Schizosaccharomyces pombe: one gene and its partner. Changing the gene in region 1 together with any one later gene gives a genetic interaction. Each region holds a gene or a part of one and is shown in the gene's direction. Other genes may lie near its edges. The genes, in order: sst4 and ark1.

Region 1 (10,323 bases):
AAACTTCCAAGTCAAATGGTGTAAACTCATTTATACACAATTTATAGCATTCAAAAACCATGTGGAAAGGCATCAACTGAAATTTAGTAAGTTCAGAAATATAACGAACAATAAGCAATCTAGTATCGTATTCGTGCTTAGCTTTTCGATGAATCATCCTTTTGAACGAATGTCTTGCATGATCTACCAATGAAGTGGAAAACTCTGATGAAAGTTGAGAAAGAATACGTGCTAATCGAACATAATAAGGAACAAGGAAAGACGATGTCCTAGGGATAGTGCACAAAGCCTTTATAAGTCGATTCCTAGATGCCTTTGTATTTAAGTCGTAAAACTCCAAGGCCATTTCATTCGTGAGTTCTAAGGAAACCATGGAGGGTAATTTTAGCAAGAAGTTATCAACTCTTGAGCTTACTTGCGTTGTATTTAGATCGCCCGTTGAGTCCTTAAGATCATCTTCTTTTTTATTGTTTTCAGATGAAGAACGAATACCTTCCTGACTGGATTCGTAAATGCTACTTTTCATTTCAGCTATAGAACCTTCATTAAAATTTGGGAACACCTCGTAAAAAAAATATTGCTCTCTATCATCCCAAACTTGAGCCGTTTCAACATTGGCAGACTCACTCCTTTCGCCTGATGCATTAAACACGCTATTAGTTCCAGAGGAAGCCTTTTCCATAAAGTTGAGTTCCAAGAGATCTTCGGAAGCTTTTCTATTCAATACTTCTGAAAGAGAAGCATAAGAAGAAAATTCAGACTCGATCGATTTTGAAAAGTTAGCAAGGCGCTGGAATTTTTCATTGTTTGGATCTGCCCTTATAATGCTTTGCTCTTGATATTGTTTGTTTAATTCTTCAAAAAGAGATTTTCGCTTTTGGCAGTAGACCTCTAATTTGTCTACGTAGGAATTCAACGACTTTCTTAAATAAGTCCTCCACACAACCGGATTAAGGCGATTAACTAGTTCTAAAGTTTCTTTATCTTCAAAATCCTCTGTAGTGAAAAGTTCGCAAGAAAAAGTCCTCACCAAAGATGTCAAAACCGGTAACAAGAGAAACCCAAATCTTGTGTCCATAAGGTCATTGAATAGCAGAACCACCAAGGGTTTTTTTAAATTTTGCTCTTCAAACCATGGCTTACGAAACTTTTTATCATTCGAATCAGTAGAAGGTAAATAAGAGACGAAATCCTCAGGAGTGCCAACAACACCATTTAACCAAAACTCAATCAAAAACCTAAGGAGCGGTCTAACTTTGAGTAAATGAGAGGAACGGTCCTTTTCGGAAACTTCGTTTTCATTTTGCTTTAGTTCAAAGTATGATTCGTGACACAATGAGTATCCTGGGTTTGGGTATAAAGCACAGTATAAGTTGGCCAGCATGGGTCCAGTAAAAGCCGTGGAAAAACGCAGATTAAGAGCCCAAACAATTTTGACTGACGACAGTATGTCTTTAGTAGCTTTACATTTCATCATTCCTTCTACGATGGCGGCGGTAATTTCAGGAATGAACTTTTTCAAAGACAGGGTTTTTATTTCCTTTATAAAGGAATCGTAATTTTCAGAAGTTAATGAGGACTTACATCTTTTCATAAATGCTGTATTTTTCTTTAGAGAAGAATCCAGCTGGCTCTCAGTATGAAATATATTTTTGTCACCATCTTTGGCTCGGAAGGCAAGCTCTCTATTATCCAAATATTGATTAAGTTTTTTTATTTGTTCTTCTCTTGACATAATTTAACGAAATTGCATTGAAAAGCACTTCAATTCTCATATCTTGTTTAGAACACTAGTCGACGATAGTTGGCGTAAAGTGAGTAGATAAATTTGACACATGTCCTCTTCCACAACGAAATAATATTGTAAAGTAACTATGGCAAGTATCTTAAATTATACTGGTTTTTTTTTTTAAAAAAGAATAAACAGTATTGGATTATATTTTAGTTGCATAAATGCTATATTGTTGCTGCAGTTTCATATATTAGAGGAATAAATCAATTGGGGATGATTAGAAGCAATAGGAGGTTTGTGCATTGGTACAATTTAAACATAATTTGTTAGGCATGAAGAATAAAACAGTTAATACAGGTAGATGTATGCATCATCTTGATAAGGACCTTTTATGATTGACGAAAATATATCTACGGTTTCCACTTTTACGCTTACTGTTGATGTGTAACAATCTTAAATAAAAAGGAAAAAAAGGTAACAGTAGCAATTTATTGAAGCTATTAAGTGTGCTAACAGAAATTCAATACAATTGTTGATACTCAGAAAGGGTAATTAAGCAATACTCAGAAAACCATGTATTGCCTTCGAATAAATAAAACACTTTTATAAATAAATATCATATTCAACAAAAAATTGCTCAGATCGTTAAAACATTAGTCTAGGATACGAGAAATGTTTCTCTCCTTGTAGGTAGCAGCCTTTCCAGTATGATCGTTCAATATTTCATAACGAGTCTCCTCTCCGCTATCGTTTTTAATCACCTGCTGGATAACTCCTGTTGAGGTGCTGGTACCGCTAGGGCCACCAATCTTAAACCATTTGTTAATACTTAATCACAGTCGAAAAACTTCAAGACACAATTCGGTACACAAAATACAGTGTACTTAACTGACATGCCTGAATCAAAAATTCCTACTTACAGGATGGTATTCGACTTTGTTTCCTTTAGAATATTTGGTCATTTTTTAAACGATATGAATATTTATGATTTTAGTATGCAAACCTCCAAATTATATAGTTTTTTTATTATGAAAGTGGCAACTAAACCTCTTAAACAATTGCACATAATGTTGTCGTGAGTAAGACGTAAACCATCTAGACGTAATCAATGCCTTTGATAATTTTTGTGTGAAATCTGATACATGCAACCCTGCAGTACAACGTAGCACGTTTCATCACTTCGTGAAGACACATGGATAAATCGTTCATCATCCAACACTTCCATTTGAGAAGAAGCGGCGATTGACATAACTATAGTGAACGTAATAAATTGTGATTGAAAACCAAGTTAGTCTTGTTTTTTTACGTGGCATCGAAGTTATATCTATAGAAATGTAGTATAGAAAAAAAATGTGTGAGATTGAAAGATAGATAGATATTAATTCATTCCAACTTTTAAAACAATGGTAGTTTAGCGTAACGATTTTTCGTCATATTTACTCATCAACGAGAATAATTTTTCCCATTGAAAGTTATCTGGATGAGACCGGAGTTCGCTCATGAGGTTGCAAATACGAGGTTAGATTAAATCGACTTTCTCATTACTACCAGCATAAGAAAAGTGATCCTAAGCATTTTTTAAAACATTAGTGAACTTTTCGAATCAATGTACAGTGTTCCTACTTCGCACTTTAAAAGATTTAGTTGGGTAGGAAAAACAATGTCAATCCTAACAGTAATTAAACGGATGTAGAATTTGGAAAATCGACAAACATTGTCATAGTCAACTTTTTTATATGAATGTGTTTCCAATTCCCAATATTCTGGGTTCATACAAGGCTAATCCTTCATCAATAAGCTTCAATTACCTATCCTTGTTTATTATCGAGCATTTTCAGAACCTGGTAAAAGCTTCTAAAAATTCAAAAAATCGGTCACTCTTTTTTTTGGTTCGTGAATTATATTTTTGTTTTGCTTCCCCTAAAACGTTTGATGTGAAAGTTAAATAATACGGATAGTAAATTTTCTAAAATATCTCTTCTTCTGCCTTCAGCTACTTGGCTGTTTGGATGGATAAGTTATAAACCAATTAAATTTTTAGAAAAGAATATTTAACTATAGTAGTATACTTAGTCGGATAAACCTTTTTCTACTGTAGTTTAACCAACAATGTTTTACAAAGATTTTCAGTGCTATAATGCGATTAGGTTGTAAGTGTAATTTTATTTAAAAGTCTAAACTTATGATCATATTAAAATACGCACATTTCGTATATATACGTGCTCAGTTGATTAGTGAAGACGAACATATAAATGATGAACGCTATAGAACAAAAAGTATTAAACTGAGACAAGTGTTTGCTACACAGTTTGGTATCCGATTTAAGGATACGTAGAACTGCGGTGAGTTTTCCTTGTGGTCTATTATATTACAATACACAGGTTGTATAAGTAGCAACTGAGTATAGGTATTGTATTAACTGGGTTATAATGTTACCTATCACTAATATAGCTCATAACTGAACTGAGGAACGAGGTTCAGCAGTAGCTCTATTTATAGTATTCAGATAATATTGATCTTAATAGATTATCATTAAGATCAATCTCCATATCGTATCATACATGGTACGATATATAATTAGAACATGTGACATATAGTGATACGCAACGTAGTGTATCATAGCGTAGTGTAGTATTGCTGACATTAGTTCGCGACCTATCCCCATGCAAAAAATATTTTCGGCATTAGTGTTAAGAACGAGGTGCATACAACTTTCGCATTGCAAACAGCTAGTTGCATACTGCAAGTGTAATTTTTTTTAATTTAATAATTTAAGATGCTTCGTCGTGCTGTTAGGGAAAGAAGACAGTTCATTTATAAGAGAAATCAAGAACTTCAAGAAGCAAAACTCAATGAAAAACGACGTGCATTAAGAAAAGCATTGGAAGGTAACAAAGAATTGAACAAAGATTTGCAGGAAGACAGTCAACTTCAAAAGGATTATAAATATGATGAAAGCAGAGCAACTCAAGAAGAGACAGAAACCAACCTTGACGATGAGTACCACCGTCTGGGTGAGAGGGAGCCAAAAGTTTTAGTTACCACCAGTCGAGAGCCCTCATCTCGTCTAGCGCAATTTGCAAAAGAAGTACGTCTCTTGATTCCCAACTCATATCGACTCAATCGTGGTAATATCGTTGTCGGAAGCTTGGTAGAAGCCGCTCGTGCCAATGATATTACCGATATAGTCATTTTGCACGAACACAGAGGTATCCCTGATGGTCTTGTAATTTCTCATCTTCCTTATGGTCCTACCTTGTCATTTTCTTTACATAACGTGGTTCTTCGTCATGATATCCCTAATACTGGTACCATGTCAGAAGCGTATCCACATCTTATTTTTGAAAATTTGACTTCAAAGTTGGGAAAGCGCGTTAAAACAGCTCTTTCTGCTTTATTTCCTCCAGACCCTAAAGATACTACACCACGTGTGGTTACATTTGCTAACACTGATGATTATATCAGTTTCCGTCACCACATTTACGCCAAAACAGGCCCAAAGCAGATTATTCTATCTGAGGCTGGTCCTCGCTTTGAGATGAAACTATTTGAAATTACCCTCGGCACCGTTGATATGGTAGACGCTGATGTGGAATGGAAATTGAAGCCTTACCAGCGTCACAAACGTGATGTTTTAGCTGAATGAGCGTAGGTATGATGGGTATGGTCAAACGGTTATTTTAGGTTCATTTGGGATACAGGTAAATAATTACAATTCTTTTATGTATAGGCAAGGCCATTAGAGTGAATGGTATCTTTGATAAATAAGGAGGCAAAACTTTCTAGTATTAGTGGTTAATGGTTATACTATTCAAAACATTAGTGAAGTAGAACATATATCAGTAGCGATTGTACTTGGGTTCCTTTTTTATATTTTAATTAGTTTACTTGAGCAATGTTTATGTACAGCTTAAAGTTTAAGCACTGTATTTGTCTTTTTAAAAATACCAACCTTTTAACTTCGGACCTACGTTATTATGGTGAATATTCCAACCAAATGACATTCCATATTTTTCGCTAAACTTCTATTTTTTTGATTTCTTGATTTTCTTCTTCTTGTATTGCTTTTCAACTTCATCAATTTGGGCATCGGCAGCTTTTATTAGTTTTTCAGCAAATTCCGGATCGGTAATTTCTTTGCGTGAATATTCAACTATCGAACATTCATTTACAAGGACGGGTTGAGTAATCGAAGCAAATTCGGGACTGCAAATAGCATGAAAAAATGATTGAGCACCATGAATAGTACCTTTCAGAAGAAGCCACCAAAACGGCCAAAGTAACAAATAAAGAAATAATCCCCAAACCTTTCCAAAGGATACAACTCTTCGAAATCCTGGAGTTCGAACGACACCTGGATTTGCCATGATGGTATGTAAATTACACGGCATTTTGTCAGGTCGTTCATGAGCTTCAGCTTTTTTCTGAAAATCATAAAGATAAGTCATCAAGGCAAGTTTGGCATTTCCCACTACCTTCCAGGGACTTTTTCGAGGATATGGATGATTAGATAAATCAAGATCGTTGAAATCTATATTACCTAAAATATATGATGAACAGGTAGCTGCAACAATTCGTACTTCCCTGTGCCCGGGCTGACCATATATAACTGGGCGGAGAATCCTAAGTAGCTGGTATGGACCTAAGAAATTTGTAGCCCATTGCAACTCAACACCTTCCTCGGTAGTTTGCCTATCCATAAATGGAGGCAGTAAAACTCCACTGCACAAAACTATCATATCCAGCCTACGAATAGGAGTGCAATCAATCCACTTTGTAGCGAACTTCCTAACAGATAACATAGAGCTCAAGTCACAGACTTCAGTATAAATTAGTTGGTTTTTTGTACGCTTTCTAAGGTCCATTATGTAATCTACAGTAAATTGATCTGGCTCTGTACGAAGTAGAATAACAACTTGAGCTCCCAGAGAAGCTAATTTCTCTACGACAACTTGTCCTATTCCAGAACTTCCCCCAGTGACCATGACTACCATTCCGTTCATTTTACGCTCCCAAGTTGTTGTTCGTCCAGAAGTCCAGAATTTAAAGGCCGCAATTGTTGAAACCGCAATCGCAGCCTTTGTATATTGAGCCCAATGTGTAATTAGATGCTCATACTTAAATTGTGCTATGTGAGCAATAATTGGAATAGGCATATTTCGTTGATTTACAAAATCTGTTGATGGAGTTGGCAAAAGGCAGCTACATACCACTGACATTGAGGTATACTAAACTCGTCTTCATATTTAATTCTTAACAATCAAAAATTTAAAACTTTTTTTTATACAATTGTTTTAACTTTAGATGGATTTAATTGTACAATTATTTAATCGCTTGACTGCTAGTGCATATTACTAATAGCAACTAGCTCCATAAATTTGACAAAGATAGGATTGAATTGTTTTTGTATATATACATAATGTAATTTATGGACCGTAAAACAGATTGCTTACAAATTGGAAAGTAAAATAGACTGTTTATATGATATATATGTGAAATTTGAAGATATACTAAATACTTGTTTTAACATAGGAAAATTAAGTATGTGTATACTACAACATTTGACATATTATTTTTTATAATATTTCAAGAAACACTGTGATAGTATATAATTCGCATAGCAAATATAAATTATTACGGTCTGTCTTATTAGCACCTACCAGAAGTACAGCACTCAATGGTGAGGTATCGTTTTCCTTCTTTGCTTATTTATGGTACCTTCAAAAAGGCTGAAACTACATTGCACGCTTTAGCTTGATCTACCTAATGAGTCTATAAACATCATCGATATTTACGACAATTAGTGTTCTCTCAATACTTGCTTTACTATATTTGCCGCTCTGCACTATCAACCGTTATACCGAGATGTGCTAAGCTGCCCGCACTATTACTTAGCAAGTTTGAGCCACGAACAATCTGTTATTGCTGTCGAGAACCAAACTCTTTCTCAAATTGAATTTTATTGGAAAGGAGGATTTACAATACATTATTTTGCCATAATTTCAAACAATCAGAAGAATTGTGCCAAAGTTGTTATACTTCACCTGCTGCTTTTGTTTATTAGGAATTTTTGAAGGCCATTGGTTATTTGTTTGGTGACAATTTAGCTTACAAATAATAAAAAGATTTCTTTTGTTTCTTAATTTCGGTTTTTCTTTTCTTCTCTATTTTCATAACGATGTCTCGGTGGTGGAATTCCAATTCTCAGTTTGCTTCCGACATAGAAAAGGCTACATCGGAAACGCTTCCTGCTGGCTCTGAAGAAATTTCATTATATTTAGAAATTTCTGATCAAATACGTAGTAAGTCTGTTGATCCGAAATTTGCTATGCGTATTCTTAAATCCCGAATTGATCATTCGAATCCGAATGTTCAAATAATGGCATTGAAGTTGACAGATACCTGCGTTAAAAATGGGGGTTCCGGTTTTTTATTGGAAATAGCTTCTAGAGAGTTTATGGATAATTTGGTATCTATTCTACGATCTCCTGCAGGAATAGACGAAGACGTTAAAATGGTCATTTTACGATACATTCAGTCTTGGGCTTTGGCAGTTCCAGATACCAATTCTCCACTTAGTTATATTATTCATGTTTATCAAAATTTAAAAGACGGTGATTATGAGTTCCCTGAGCCTTCTCAGAACATTACTAGCAAATTTTTAGATACTGAAACACCGCCCGATTGGACAGATAGTGAAGTTTGTCTTCGTTGTCGTACACCTTTTACATTCACTAATCGTAAACACCATTGTAGAAATTGCGGTGGCGTGTTTTGCAATCAATGTTCTTCAAAAACACTTTCTCTTCCTCACCTTGGAATTAACCAGCCTGTTAGGGTATGCGACAGTTGTTATTCATTACGTACGAAACCCAAAGGTTCCAAATCAAGAGCGCGAAATGAAAGGAAATTCCATGCGAAGACTAGAAAGACACCCTCTAAACCCGTAACTAATAATGAAGACGAAGATATCAAAAGAGCTATTGAGCTTTCCCTCAAAGAAATGCCTCAATCACGAGAACCTCCATCTTATGAAAGACCTTCAGAGGCCAATGTAGTTATTAGTCAAGACCAACATCTTACAGAAGACGAAGATGAAGAGCTTAAACGTGCTATTGCTATCAGCCTTGAGGAAGCACAGAAGTCATCTCAAAAGGATGACAATGTTACGGCACCTAACAATATGAATATTTCTTACCCTAGTGTTCCAGCTCACACCGTTTCAACTGATATTCGATCATCTCCTTTCTCTGGTAGGCCGAGTGATAATCCTTCTACTTTAATTTCTACTGCGGATGCTGATAACATCACTTTATATGCTACTTTGGTGCAAAAGTTAAAAAAGCTACCACCTGGGTCTATTTTTACGGAATATCAGCTACAGGAACTCCACGAAAATATGGGTGTTATGCGAACTCGTATGATGCGATCGCTTGGTGAAACAATGAGTAAATATAACGGGCTAATTCAAGCTTTGCAAAAGCTCCAAACTTGTATGCGATTGAATGATGCTCTAATAGAACAAAGACTTTCATCCACGTATGCACATCATTATATTGATTCTAGCATGGATTCAAACCGATCAATTGAACCTGAGCCGGATGTAATTAGCACTGTGAGGAATAGTTCAACCATTCCCCAGGCTTCGTCTTCTTCTGTCCCGAAAATCGTTGTCGATTCGTCTCCGGTAACAGAAAATCCCCCTAGTCATTCTGATGTGATGGGTCAGAAAGATACTATCTCCAGTTATTACTCGACGGATACAGACGTTTCTGCGAATGTAATGGGAAATCGACACGATGAAGTTGTATTTTCTGACACCGCATCTGGTGAAAAGAATACAAAATTAAATATCGATGAAAGTACCAACTATTATAATACTGATTCAATCGATAAAGTTGGAGAGCCTTTTGACGAAATTTCCTCTGGTTATGATGATTTAATGAATGGCAATGATAAGCAAGGTAATGATATTCCTGAAGTTCAAGAAGCATCTTTAATCGAGCTTTAGGTTTTAAACATCTTATAATACATATTAAATACTTAGATCAATTTATCGACAATGCATGTCTGTTTACGATCCTTTTAATATTTTTTTGTTTTTCAAAATTGATCAATTGTAACCTAAAATTCAGAATGGTGAATACATACGTAAACTAAACTAATAAACGACTATAGACTCCGAACCTGGGTAGTTATTTGTAAATCAAGCGCTCTCAGTCTCCACAGTTGCGGCAGAGACTGCTTCATTTGAAAAAGCCTCCTTGGAGTTTTTCCAGTCAACAGTTGAAGCATCAAAAGGTGAAAATTTGAGGTAACACATATCTTGAGGAAATGTCGTAGCGAAAATCATTTGAGTATCAGAGTCAGGGGTTCTTTTATGTTTCCAATCAAGCATGATACTGGCCTTTCCAATGCAAGCAATTAAATGATTAACGGCATAACGCTGGCCCAAACATACATGAGGACCATTACCAAAAACCATCCAATTCTTAGGACTTTGCTCGGCAAGACCATTTGGTGCCCAGCGGTCAGGATTAAATGTTTCTGGCTCTGGATAAACCTTAGAATCGTGAAGTGCACCATAGAGG
Region 2 (9,792 bases), on another chromosome or scaffold:
GACAGCTATTGTATTAAAAAACTGATTGGAAAGTGGAAAAGGTATATTAATATTTTGGCAAAGGATTTCATTTACTAGGTAAAAATTTGTCGCCTCAATTTAACAGTACTTTTTGCAGGGAAAAAGGGTATAAAGATAATTTACGGAAAAGTTAATAGATAAAAAGACTTAAAGAATGTCCTTTTCAGAAGATCAAGCAATGGAAGAAGCCAAACTGAGAAATGATGAAACTGAAGAGCAGGATCCAGTGGTGCGGACATATCCGGTATTTTTCTCACCCGGACTTAGAAATAATCTTTTACTAAATCAATTTCCCCTTCGTCCTAAAAACCGCACATACAGTGATGCAAATGGTGAAGCACCAATCGATGTTCGAGTGAAACCGAAGACTGGCTGGATGGAGGTCGATGTACCCATTCCTACAACAAAATACTATAATGAGGATAAGGCAATGAAATATGGTAACGGCAAAAAGCCAATTCAGACCCAAACACTTTCTGGAAGACTTCAGAAACCAAGGACCAATTTGATGGTCGGTCTAATTCGCGACGGGCAATTTCATATTGTGCCGTTGCGCGGTTTAACGCAGCTGAGGCCCTCAATGAAACATGTAAATGAATATACACAAAAGTTAAAGGCTGCTGCTGGCCCTTCAAATTCTTCGTCTGGTACGTCTACCCCACGTGGACCCATTCGCGCAGTGCAGGTTACTGCCAAACAAAATACAGAAGCACCAAAAGTCTCCACCACTCACATAGTTAGAGCAACAGAGGAGGAGGAATGGGTTGAGTTGGACTGTCGCCCAGAACGCGAGTCCGAGTCAATATTGAAGCAATTAGAATGTCCCATCGAACATCAACCAAACGAGTGCGCTGCTGTTGATGAAGATTACTCCTTTATTTAGTTTAATCAATGCGTTTATGTATATATTTCTTCACGTAAAAACTGCTTTTAGTCATTGCAAAACAGATAAAATTGACATGACTCTCATTAATTGCTATACAAGAGTAAGTCGTATTTACTTACAGATGCTAACATGATGACTGAAAATATTGACGAAATTAATATCAACCATTTTTATTGCTATATGCAATTTGCTTAATCAATACTGTACCACTTTAAACACTGCCTGCTACAATAGTGCATAACTTCTATTTCACTTGGTATACAAACAAAAAAAAAACTCTACTTGTACAAGTATAGACTCCAATGATTAAACCAAAGCATCGAAACATCTCATTTATTTTTAACTAACGACGAGCAGCAACCTTGGCATTCTTAATAGCTTGGCCACGAGCAGAGCTGGCAGCAGACTTGGCCTTGATGGCCTTCTTTTCAGATTCGGAGGCGGCCCTCTTATCCTTACGTTGCTTCAAAGCAGCGGCACGGGCAGCAGCACGGACTTCAGGACGTTGGTTACGCTTCTCTTTAATGACATCCAAGTTAGCACCGACAATTCCACGTTGGTGCTTGACGGTACGACGAGTACGCTTCTTAGCATGCTCCTCAGAGATACCCTTCTTGTGCATACGACGGTAAAGGACAGTCCATGACAAACGACGGGGGTTCTTGCGTTGAAGGAAAAGGCTCTCAGACTTCTTGTTGACAAAGCGGAAAACCTTGTTGTCTCCACGAACAAAGAGTCTTCCAGCTCCGGGATAAACCTTGGATCCAGAAAATGAGCAAACTTCCACCTTCATTTTTCCTAGTAGTTCGTGGTCGATTCCTCTAAACTTTCGTGTATCGTGTTGTGTCGTATTTCAAAAAATAGTCACAAACCCTAACCTCATATTTTAACTACGGACGGACTCGTTAATGGATTTAAGACTCACTTCCTGTTCAATTTTTATTTACGCCTTAATTTGGTAAAAGGGCTAAATGCGTTAGTGACTCGGTGGAGTACAATGCGTTTATTTTAAATAGCAGAACCTGGCAGCTGCTGCAATATTTGTATAATACAAATATAATGATCCCGTACTAGTAATAAAAACCTGGTTTTAAGTACATTTGTAACTGAAATGCAAGTTTACTAGGTTTAAAACATTCTTTATTAAAAGAATAATAAAAGTTAGAATTATCGCAAACTTACTTGTCAAAGCAGTGATTCGGTGGGATTTAATGAATTGTGAAACGTAGCGCTTGCTGTTTGTTATTTATTGGTCTAGGGTATTTTTCAAAGATTAAGTAAAAGGAATTAATTTTTTGTCCAGCATTCAATTCTATATACCTTTCCTAACGCAAAATGTTGCTTCATTATACGCAAACAATCAATTGCGAGATAGGCTCATTTCCATAATTTAGCAGCATGTAAGCATCACGAAAAGTAAGAGCAGTTAAATAACGGTTTTTATTTGATCAAAAAGATGATAATTATGATTACTGTGATAAGAAATGGGCATAACGCTCAATGTCTACGTTTCCTCCACTTATAATGATACCAATTCGTTTATTCTTTAGCTTTTCCTTCATAGCGCGCGCTGCCGCAAAGCTAAGACATCCAGTGGGTTCGACTACAATTTTCATACGTGCGGCATAAAACTTAAGACAGTCAATTAGTTCCTCGTCGGACACAGTCAATATATCATCGACCTTTTCTTTTATAATGGAAAACGTGTAGTTACCCAAATGTTGAGTTTGAGCACCATCGGCTATAGTTTTTGGTGTATCAATATGTACGATAGATCCTTTCCTAAAGGACTGTTGCCCATCGTTTCCAGCTTCAGGTTCAACTCCATAAACTTCGCAGTTTGGAGCAAAATGGCGAGCAGCAAGTGCTGATCCAGAAAGCAAGCCACCGCCTCCGAGACAAACAAAAAGTGCATCAAGAGGGCCAACCTCTTCAAACAGTTCCTTAGCTGCGGTTCCTTGACCAGCAAGTACATGGGGGTGATCGTAAGGAGGGATAATGGTAAGACCTTCTCTTTCAGAAATTTCTTTGGCCATCTTTTCTCTATCATCTTTGTATCTATCATACATGATTACTTGACCACCATAGCCTTTCGTGGCAGCGACCTTGGCTTCGGGTGCATCGAGTGGCATAATGATTTTTGCTGGAATTCCCAAGATCTTTGCCGACAGTGCAATGGCCTGAGCATGATTACCAGAAGAAAACGTCAAAACACCAGCTTTACGTTGAGCTTCATTGAGTTGAGAAAGAGCATTAAGGGCACCGCGAAATTTGAAAGCACCCATTTTTTGGAAATTTTCACATTTAAAAAACACTTCTGCCACAAACTCTTTATTTACTGTGCTCGACGTGAGTACTGGGGTTTTGTTGGCGAATTTCTTAATTCGCTCACTAGCTGAAGCAACATCATCATAGGTAGGAAGCACCAGGTTATCGCTCATTGTCGTAGTTTTTTAAAAATTTAAAAAGAGTGAAAATATCCTTTTATTCTGTAAACTATTCAGTCTTAAAATGCAAACTGAAGAATTTAACGACAATGAGAGATGTCAAATCAAGCAGAGCTCTCGATCATTTATAGAGAGAACCGTCAACTGTAACGCTATCTTATCTTTACTATGAAAAGAAGGTCAAAAAATGCGAGCCCAACTCGGAAACGAATTTATAGGCGACAATTGTAAAGACACTTACACAATTAGAACCAAATGGAAATGAAACAGCAGGACGGAGCTCCAACTTGCTAGTTCATAAAACAGTGACATGTAGCATAGCGAGTATAATGCTAATCACTATTTGTAGTATTCCTCTGTAATAAATGTTAACATTATATAGTGAGAATTTCAAGATGTAGAAACAGTCTGTTAAGAGTGTCATAGAATATAACGAAAATGCATGTATAACAATTGTTTCGACTCATTGAGTGCCAGAATAGTAACGTCTTTCTACCTTTAGCGTGATGAACAGTCATGCAGCATTGGTTAAATATATCAATAGTTTGAACCAAGCCTCGTTAATTTCTGTAAACTGTATCTGCTCAGCAATGGACTTGACTGCAGCTTAAATCAGTTTAGAAATAAATATCCAACAAACGGTGTTTTGACTTTCACATTACTATGCATATAACTCGTTACTAAAGAGTTCTTTTTTTTTATGAGAAATCTTAATCAAGAATGAAAAAGCTGATAATTAATGCTAAAACAATCGCAGAATTATATAATCCGTCATGGTCCAGTGGCTAGGATTCATCGCTCTCACCGATGCGGCGGGGGTTCGATTCCCCCTGACGGAGATTTTTTATCGTGTACTTTTCTAAATTGATTGAGAAATACGATAATTTATTATCAACTACAATTGTTAATTCACTTTTCGGTCCTTTTCTTTTGGTGTTACTCTACTTACTGAATTCTTTTCTTTTCTTGTTAGTTAGCACTGTCTCCTTCTGAAGCGTTAATATTGTAAGTATTCTATAACTAGTATTGAATAGTTCACTGTATATCGTTATTCGGTAAACAAACAGTGGACACATTGAAAAGAATAAAAAACAGATACTAAATATACTTTTAAGCCTGTGGTATTGGGATGATATAGAATATTCTGTTTGTTTTCCTTTTATTTATTTTGTTGAGAACGATACATGTCGTTTTTTTTAATAACATTTGTAGAATCGAAGTGGGTTCGTATGCTAAATAAATTCGTTCATAATTTCCATGTAAATAATCTTTGAAACACCCTTTGAGTATTCATAAATAACAACGGGAATCAGAGCCTCCTTCTTAGTTTGAAAGAAAGGAAGATAATAGCAGGCTGTGTTAAGACTCAGTAAACATGGTGTTACCTCAAAATGTAAACAACAACGCTCCTACTTCTGGACGAACTTGTCAAAAGCCAACATCAGCGTTTTTTTACGAAATAATGTCAGATTCAAAGTTGGCAGATTCTTTGAATTGCCTTTCTGTGTCAACTCCATCAACCACAGCTAATCCTGGGAGACAACAGCTTTTACGACTTGCAGTATCAAACCAACGACAAGTAAATAATGTTAGTCTAGCAAATGGGAAGGAAAACAAACGGACTTCAAATAGCAAGTTCAATTCTTCCCTTCGTAAGATAGAAGAGCCAATTGCTGGAGTACCTTCATCAGCTGGTCCTCAATGGCGAGAATTTCATATTGGAATGTTTGAAATTGGAAAACCCTTAGGGAAAGGAAAGTTTGGAAGGGTATATCTAGCTAAAGAGAAGAAGACCGGGTTTATTGTGGCTCTCAAAACATTGCATAAGTCTGAACTTGTCCAGTCAAAGATAGAAAAGCAAGTTCGACGAGAAATTGAGATTCAATCAAATCTTCGCCATAAAAACATTTTACGGCTATATGGGCACTTTCATGATGAAAAAAGGATTTATTTGATTTTAGAGTTTGCTGGCAGGGGTGAGTTGTATCAACACTTGCGTCGTGCAAAACGATTCTCAGAAGAAGTTGCGTCTAAATATATCTTCCAAATGGCTAACGCCTTATCCTACTTGCATAAGAAGCATGTAATACACCGTGATATCAAACCTGAGAACATTTTATTAGGAATTGATGGAGAAATCAAGCTTTCTGACTTTGGTTGGAGTGTCCATGCACCTTCTAACCGTCGTACCACTTTATGTGGTACATTAGATTACTTACCACCTGAAATGGTGGAGGGAAAAGAGCATACCGAAAAAGTTGATCTCTGGTCGTTGGGTGTCTTAACTTATGAGTTTTTGGTGGGAGCACCGCCTTTTGAGGACATGTCTGGTCATTCAGCTACGTATAAGCGTATCGCCAAAGTTGACTTAAAAATTCCAAGCTTTGTTCCTCCTGATGCACGGGATCTTATTTCTCGTCTATTACAGCATAATCCTGAAAAAAGAATGAGTTTGGAACAAGTTATGAGGCACCCTTGGATTGTAAAATATAAAGATTCATGGACTCGCAAAAGTTCTGAATCTTCCTAACCGCCATCTTGGTACTTTTTATTTAATTTTTCCTTCTTCTCACTACATTTTTGCATTACTACTTTCTTTTTGTTTCAGCGCTCTTTTTAATCGCGCAGCTCACTATATTCCTTCAGAACTTTTTTGATCTTTGGGGGTTATGGAGGTTTAATTATATGTAATATAACACACTCATTTAATAGAGGATCACCACCATAAACTAATCGTTTTCCAGATTTTCTTTTCGAAATCACTTAGAAGACATTCATTTTCCTAATAAAAACTATTTAAAAATTTATCATCACTTTAGCCAAGCTAATAATAACTTCCAAAAAAACTGTTACAATATGTATAAAGATAAAGTACGCCAAGCACATAATAAGTTGCATAACAAGTGAGAAGTATGCTTCGATATTTTTTAAAAGCCAACGTAAATGCTGTACGGGATATTATAAAATGGGAGGGGAAGGGAGTTGACATAATAACTATCTGACTTTTGTAAACTGGTATTTCAATAGACTAGACGAAAGAATGAATAGTTAGTACGAAGAAAAAAATGAATGAACAAAACTACAGCGAACGTACTTTTTTCAAAAGGCCTGAAATCGTTGAAACAGGAATTGAACACTTCTTCAACGATTGCTTCTGCTTGCTCTTTGCTTTTACAATTCGGGTTACCTTGTACGGAGATAGTAGCTCGTCGTTTGACGCATTCTTGATGATGCTTCCGAAAAGTTTTAATGTTACCAAAACGAAGTTCTTTGGTCCAGCGACACTCACCACTCATACTACTAGCACGAATTTCTGAACAAGCCTGATGTCTCAAATTGTTCCAATCGACTTCAAACCTGTGGTCGTCAAACATGTGTATCATTTCATGGGCAATTGTATTCTCTGCCATTTTTTTAGTATAAAGTCTGTTTTCACACAGAACTATCCCTTTACCGGGAATGTAACCTCCAGTACTTTGTGCATCACAAGGCTGGCAAGAAATGTCTTTAGCTTCAATGTTGCAATTCAAACGATCCAAGGCAGTTTTTAAAAAAATAATTACTGGAGATTGGGACATTAAAGCGCGCTTTACGCGCTCACAATTTTTCCTCTCTTTCGACCAACTTTGTGGATCTTCGCTCATATCTAAATGCACGTTTCCTTAATTCTTATAAAAAGGCCTTCAAAGGAGTTTATGGAGACAACAAACGATATCTCTAATAAATGTCAATTAATAAATTTTACCTGTACAACATTAGGTGGTTGAGTAGCAATTCGCATGAACAGGCGAAACCCCGAAAATAGTGATCGACAGAGGGAAAACACTAGTGAAGTTCTTCGTAAATATATAAGAAAGATTACACCCTTTCCGAGCCCATGGACTGCAAAGTGAGGGAGTATCGACTTTTTTTCCTATTCACAGTCTGCTGAACCCTGCTATGTGTATCAGATTGCAAGCTCTTTCACATAAAACAGTACAACGCAAAAGTTTTGCAGTTTATAACGTTATTTAACGTAGTTAAGAGAAATTGTACTCGTTATACGTTATAGCGTAAAATAATTTGCGCTTTGTGTTATACGGTAGCTTACACTTCGAATGAAGCAGTAAACGTTTCTTTCTGTTCTTTACCTAAAACAAAAAAATCTTAAAAAAGGGTCTTTTTTATAGATACTGAAACAATGAGGCCTTTAACTCATGAAGAGACAAAGACTTTCTTTGAAAAATTGGCTCAGTAGTAAGTTCATTGCACTATTTCATTGTGTTTGGAATATTTCATTCCATCGAGTTTCTTATAAAGTGTTGGGATTACTTTTTACTTCTAATACTCTACAAGAAATATTTATGTTATTTTCTACGTTGTAATTGCGTTACTGACTAGTAAAACTAGCATTGGAAAAAATATTACTCATTTAATAGACCGTCCGGATGATCCTCATTGCTTTCGTTTACAAAAAGATCGTGTTTATTATGTTAGGTAAGATTTTTGAATATGGCCACCATTCATTCTACCCCTAATATCAAAAATTACGCTAAAAAATGACCTTTTCAATTGAAACAAATATTTTAGCGCAAATAAAGTGCAGGACGGAGTGATTCTTTTTTTTTATTTAGTTCAATCAAGTTAACATACTTATAGTGAACGTGCAATGAAAATGGCTACATCTGTAGCTCGCCAAAATCTGATGTCGTTGGGTATTTGCTTTGGCAAGTTTACCAAGACAAACAAATTTCGCTTGCATATTACTGCTTTAGATTACATAGCCCAATACGCTCGCTATAAAATTTGGGTTAAAAGTAATGGTGAAATGCCGTTCCTCTATGGCAATCATGTTTTGAAGGCACACGTGGGTCGAATCACAGATGACACTCCTCAACATCAAGGTGTCGTTATTTATTCCATGAATGACACTCCTTTAGGTTTTGGTGTAACTGCTCGCTCTACTCTTGAATTGCGACGCCTTGAGCCTACAGCTATTGTTGCTTTCCATCAAGCAGATGTTGGTGAATATCTTCGTGATGAAGATACTCTTTTTTAGAGTACGAACGGAAAACATTGCTTAAAAAATATAATTAGCCTTGCTTTCACGTACATTCTCCTTTTTTGATTTTGTAGAGTGTGCAGGAAGAATAAGGTCTCTGGTTCGCGGCGAATCTTATCTTTTTGAATTTGGTGCTCTTTTTTTTTAAATAAAAAAAGAGACTTTATGCTTAAACAAAAGTAGTTCCATTTACATACTTTTGTAAGGTTAAAGAGGTTTTGGGCTTAACTGCAACCGTATTGGTTTGGCATTTTGGGTTGTGTGGTTTTTCTAGTTTCAAAAAAATATAATATGAGCTTATCTAAAGGGAAATTTTATTATTATGGCAAATGCGCCGGCAATAAATAACCATCTTTTTTTCATTGCCTCGAGCATTAAAAATTAAAACAATTAACTAGTAGCTTGAAATTGAAATGAAATTATGTACCGGTGTGCGAGCAAAATCTTTATTTATATGATTTAAGTCTAATTGATTTTATTACTTTATGCAAGTATTTTTCGTCCTCTAAAAATAGCCTAGCATCTTTCGACTTTTGCTTCGGATGTATAAGAGAAGTTGACTCGGTATAACCTGCTGTTAAAATCGTATTCAGTATTAAAGAAAAATACTGAATTAAACTAGATGGTTTATACTAAAAATACAGCTTGTAATTACTATCATAAAATCACACTCTCTTCAGTTGGTTCCTTTGTTTTATTATAGCTCGTGTAATCTTTATGCAACAGCCATACAAAAATTTTGCAAAACATCAAACGAAGAAAGGATTAATTTGAGAAATTGAAGCGAGATAACGAAGTAATGTGACTAGGTCATGAGTAAGGACGCTATAAGAATTTAAGTGAGCATTTTCATGAGAATGACTTAAGCACAATATCTACATATCTAAAAACTTTTTTTTTGACATAGAGAAAAAGGTTACATCATTAATTTGAAGCTCACAAAATAATATTTTAAAGATCTATCAACAATTATGCAACACCACCTTGCATGCTTTTTCCCTTCGACTTTATCTTGACATTGGTGCGATCCCGTTTAGGAATCCAGCGTTGAGGGTCTGGAGTAGCCTTAGGATTGAAGCTTTTAGGGGTGGGTTTTCTTCTCTTCCGAGTCTTTTTACTAGAATTTGACGAATTCGCTTCTACAGAACGCTTAATAGGCCCTATAGCTGCCGAAACAGGAACACCTCTAATTTCAATGTCGTCCACGTCAATTCCTGTAATTAAATCTTTAGTGGGTACAAGGTATTTATCCATACCAGATTCAATTTCCTTATCCAGATAGCAAAGAGCAGCAACTTTACAAGAAACTAATTCGCTTATTGGGCCCTTCCATTGAAGTAAATCATCAATTACACTCATATCATCTTGAATAGTACTCACTGGAGCTCTTTCATCAA

What was found.
Region 2: of sst4 (region 1) and ark1, extra expression of one impairs growth in a mutant of the other (dosage growth defect), as found in Schizosaccharomyces pombe (one study listed by BioGRID).

The regions. Positions count from the first base shown.
Region 1 is NC_003424.3:2,470,209-2,480,531, forward strand, and holds sst4 (ESCRT 0 complex subunit sst4), read left to right. Parts: upstream 1-7,662; 5' UTR 7,663-7,910; coding exon 7,911-9,743; 3' UTR 9,744-9,823; downstream 9,824-10,323. Other genes in the region: nonsense-mediated decay protein Upf2, read right to left, coding at 1-1,735; protein prl65, read right to left, coding at 2,386-2,541, 2,653-2,694; U3 snoRNP-associated protein Imp4, read left to right, coding at 4,509-5,378; pbr1 (putative dehydrogenase), read right to left, coding at 5,758-6,888; C-22 sterol desaturase Erg5, read right to left, coding at 9,939-10,323.
Region 2 is NC_003421.2:136,846-146,637, forward strand, and holds ark1 (Aurora-B kinase Ark1), read left to right. Parts: upstream 1-4,784; 5' UTR 4,785-4,816; coding exon 4,817-5,884; 3' UTR 5,885-6,193; downstream 6,194-9,792. Other genes in the region: DNA-directed RNA polymerase III complex subunit Rpc37, read left to right, coding at 176-904; rpl2402 (60S ribosomal protein eL24), read right to left, coding at 1,251-1,700; serine racemase Sry1, read right to left, coding at 2,377-3,348; peptidase Atp23, read right to left, coding at 6,375-6,382, 6,449-6,998; nip7 (RNA-binding and ribosome biogenesis protein), read left to right, coding at 7,535-7,590, 7,744-7,830, 7,993-8,392; signal recognition particle subunit Srp72, read right to left, coding at 9,365-9,792. UniProt on the Schizosaccharomyces pombe protein: Component of the chromosomal passenger complex (CPC), a complex that acts as a key regulator of chromosome segregation and cytokinesis.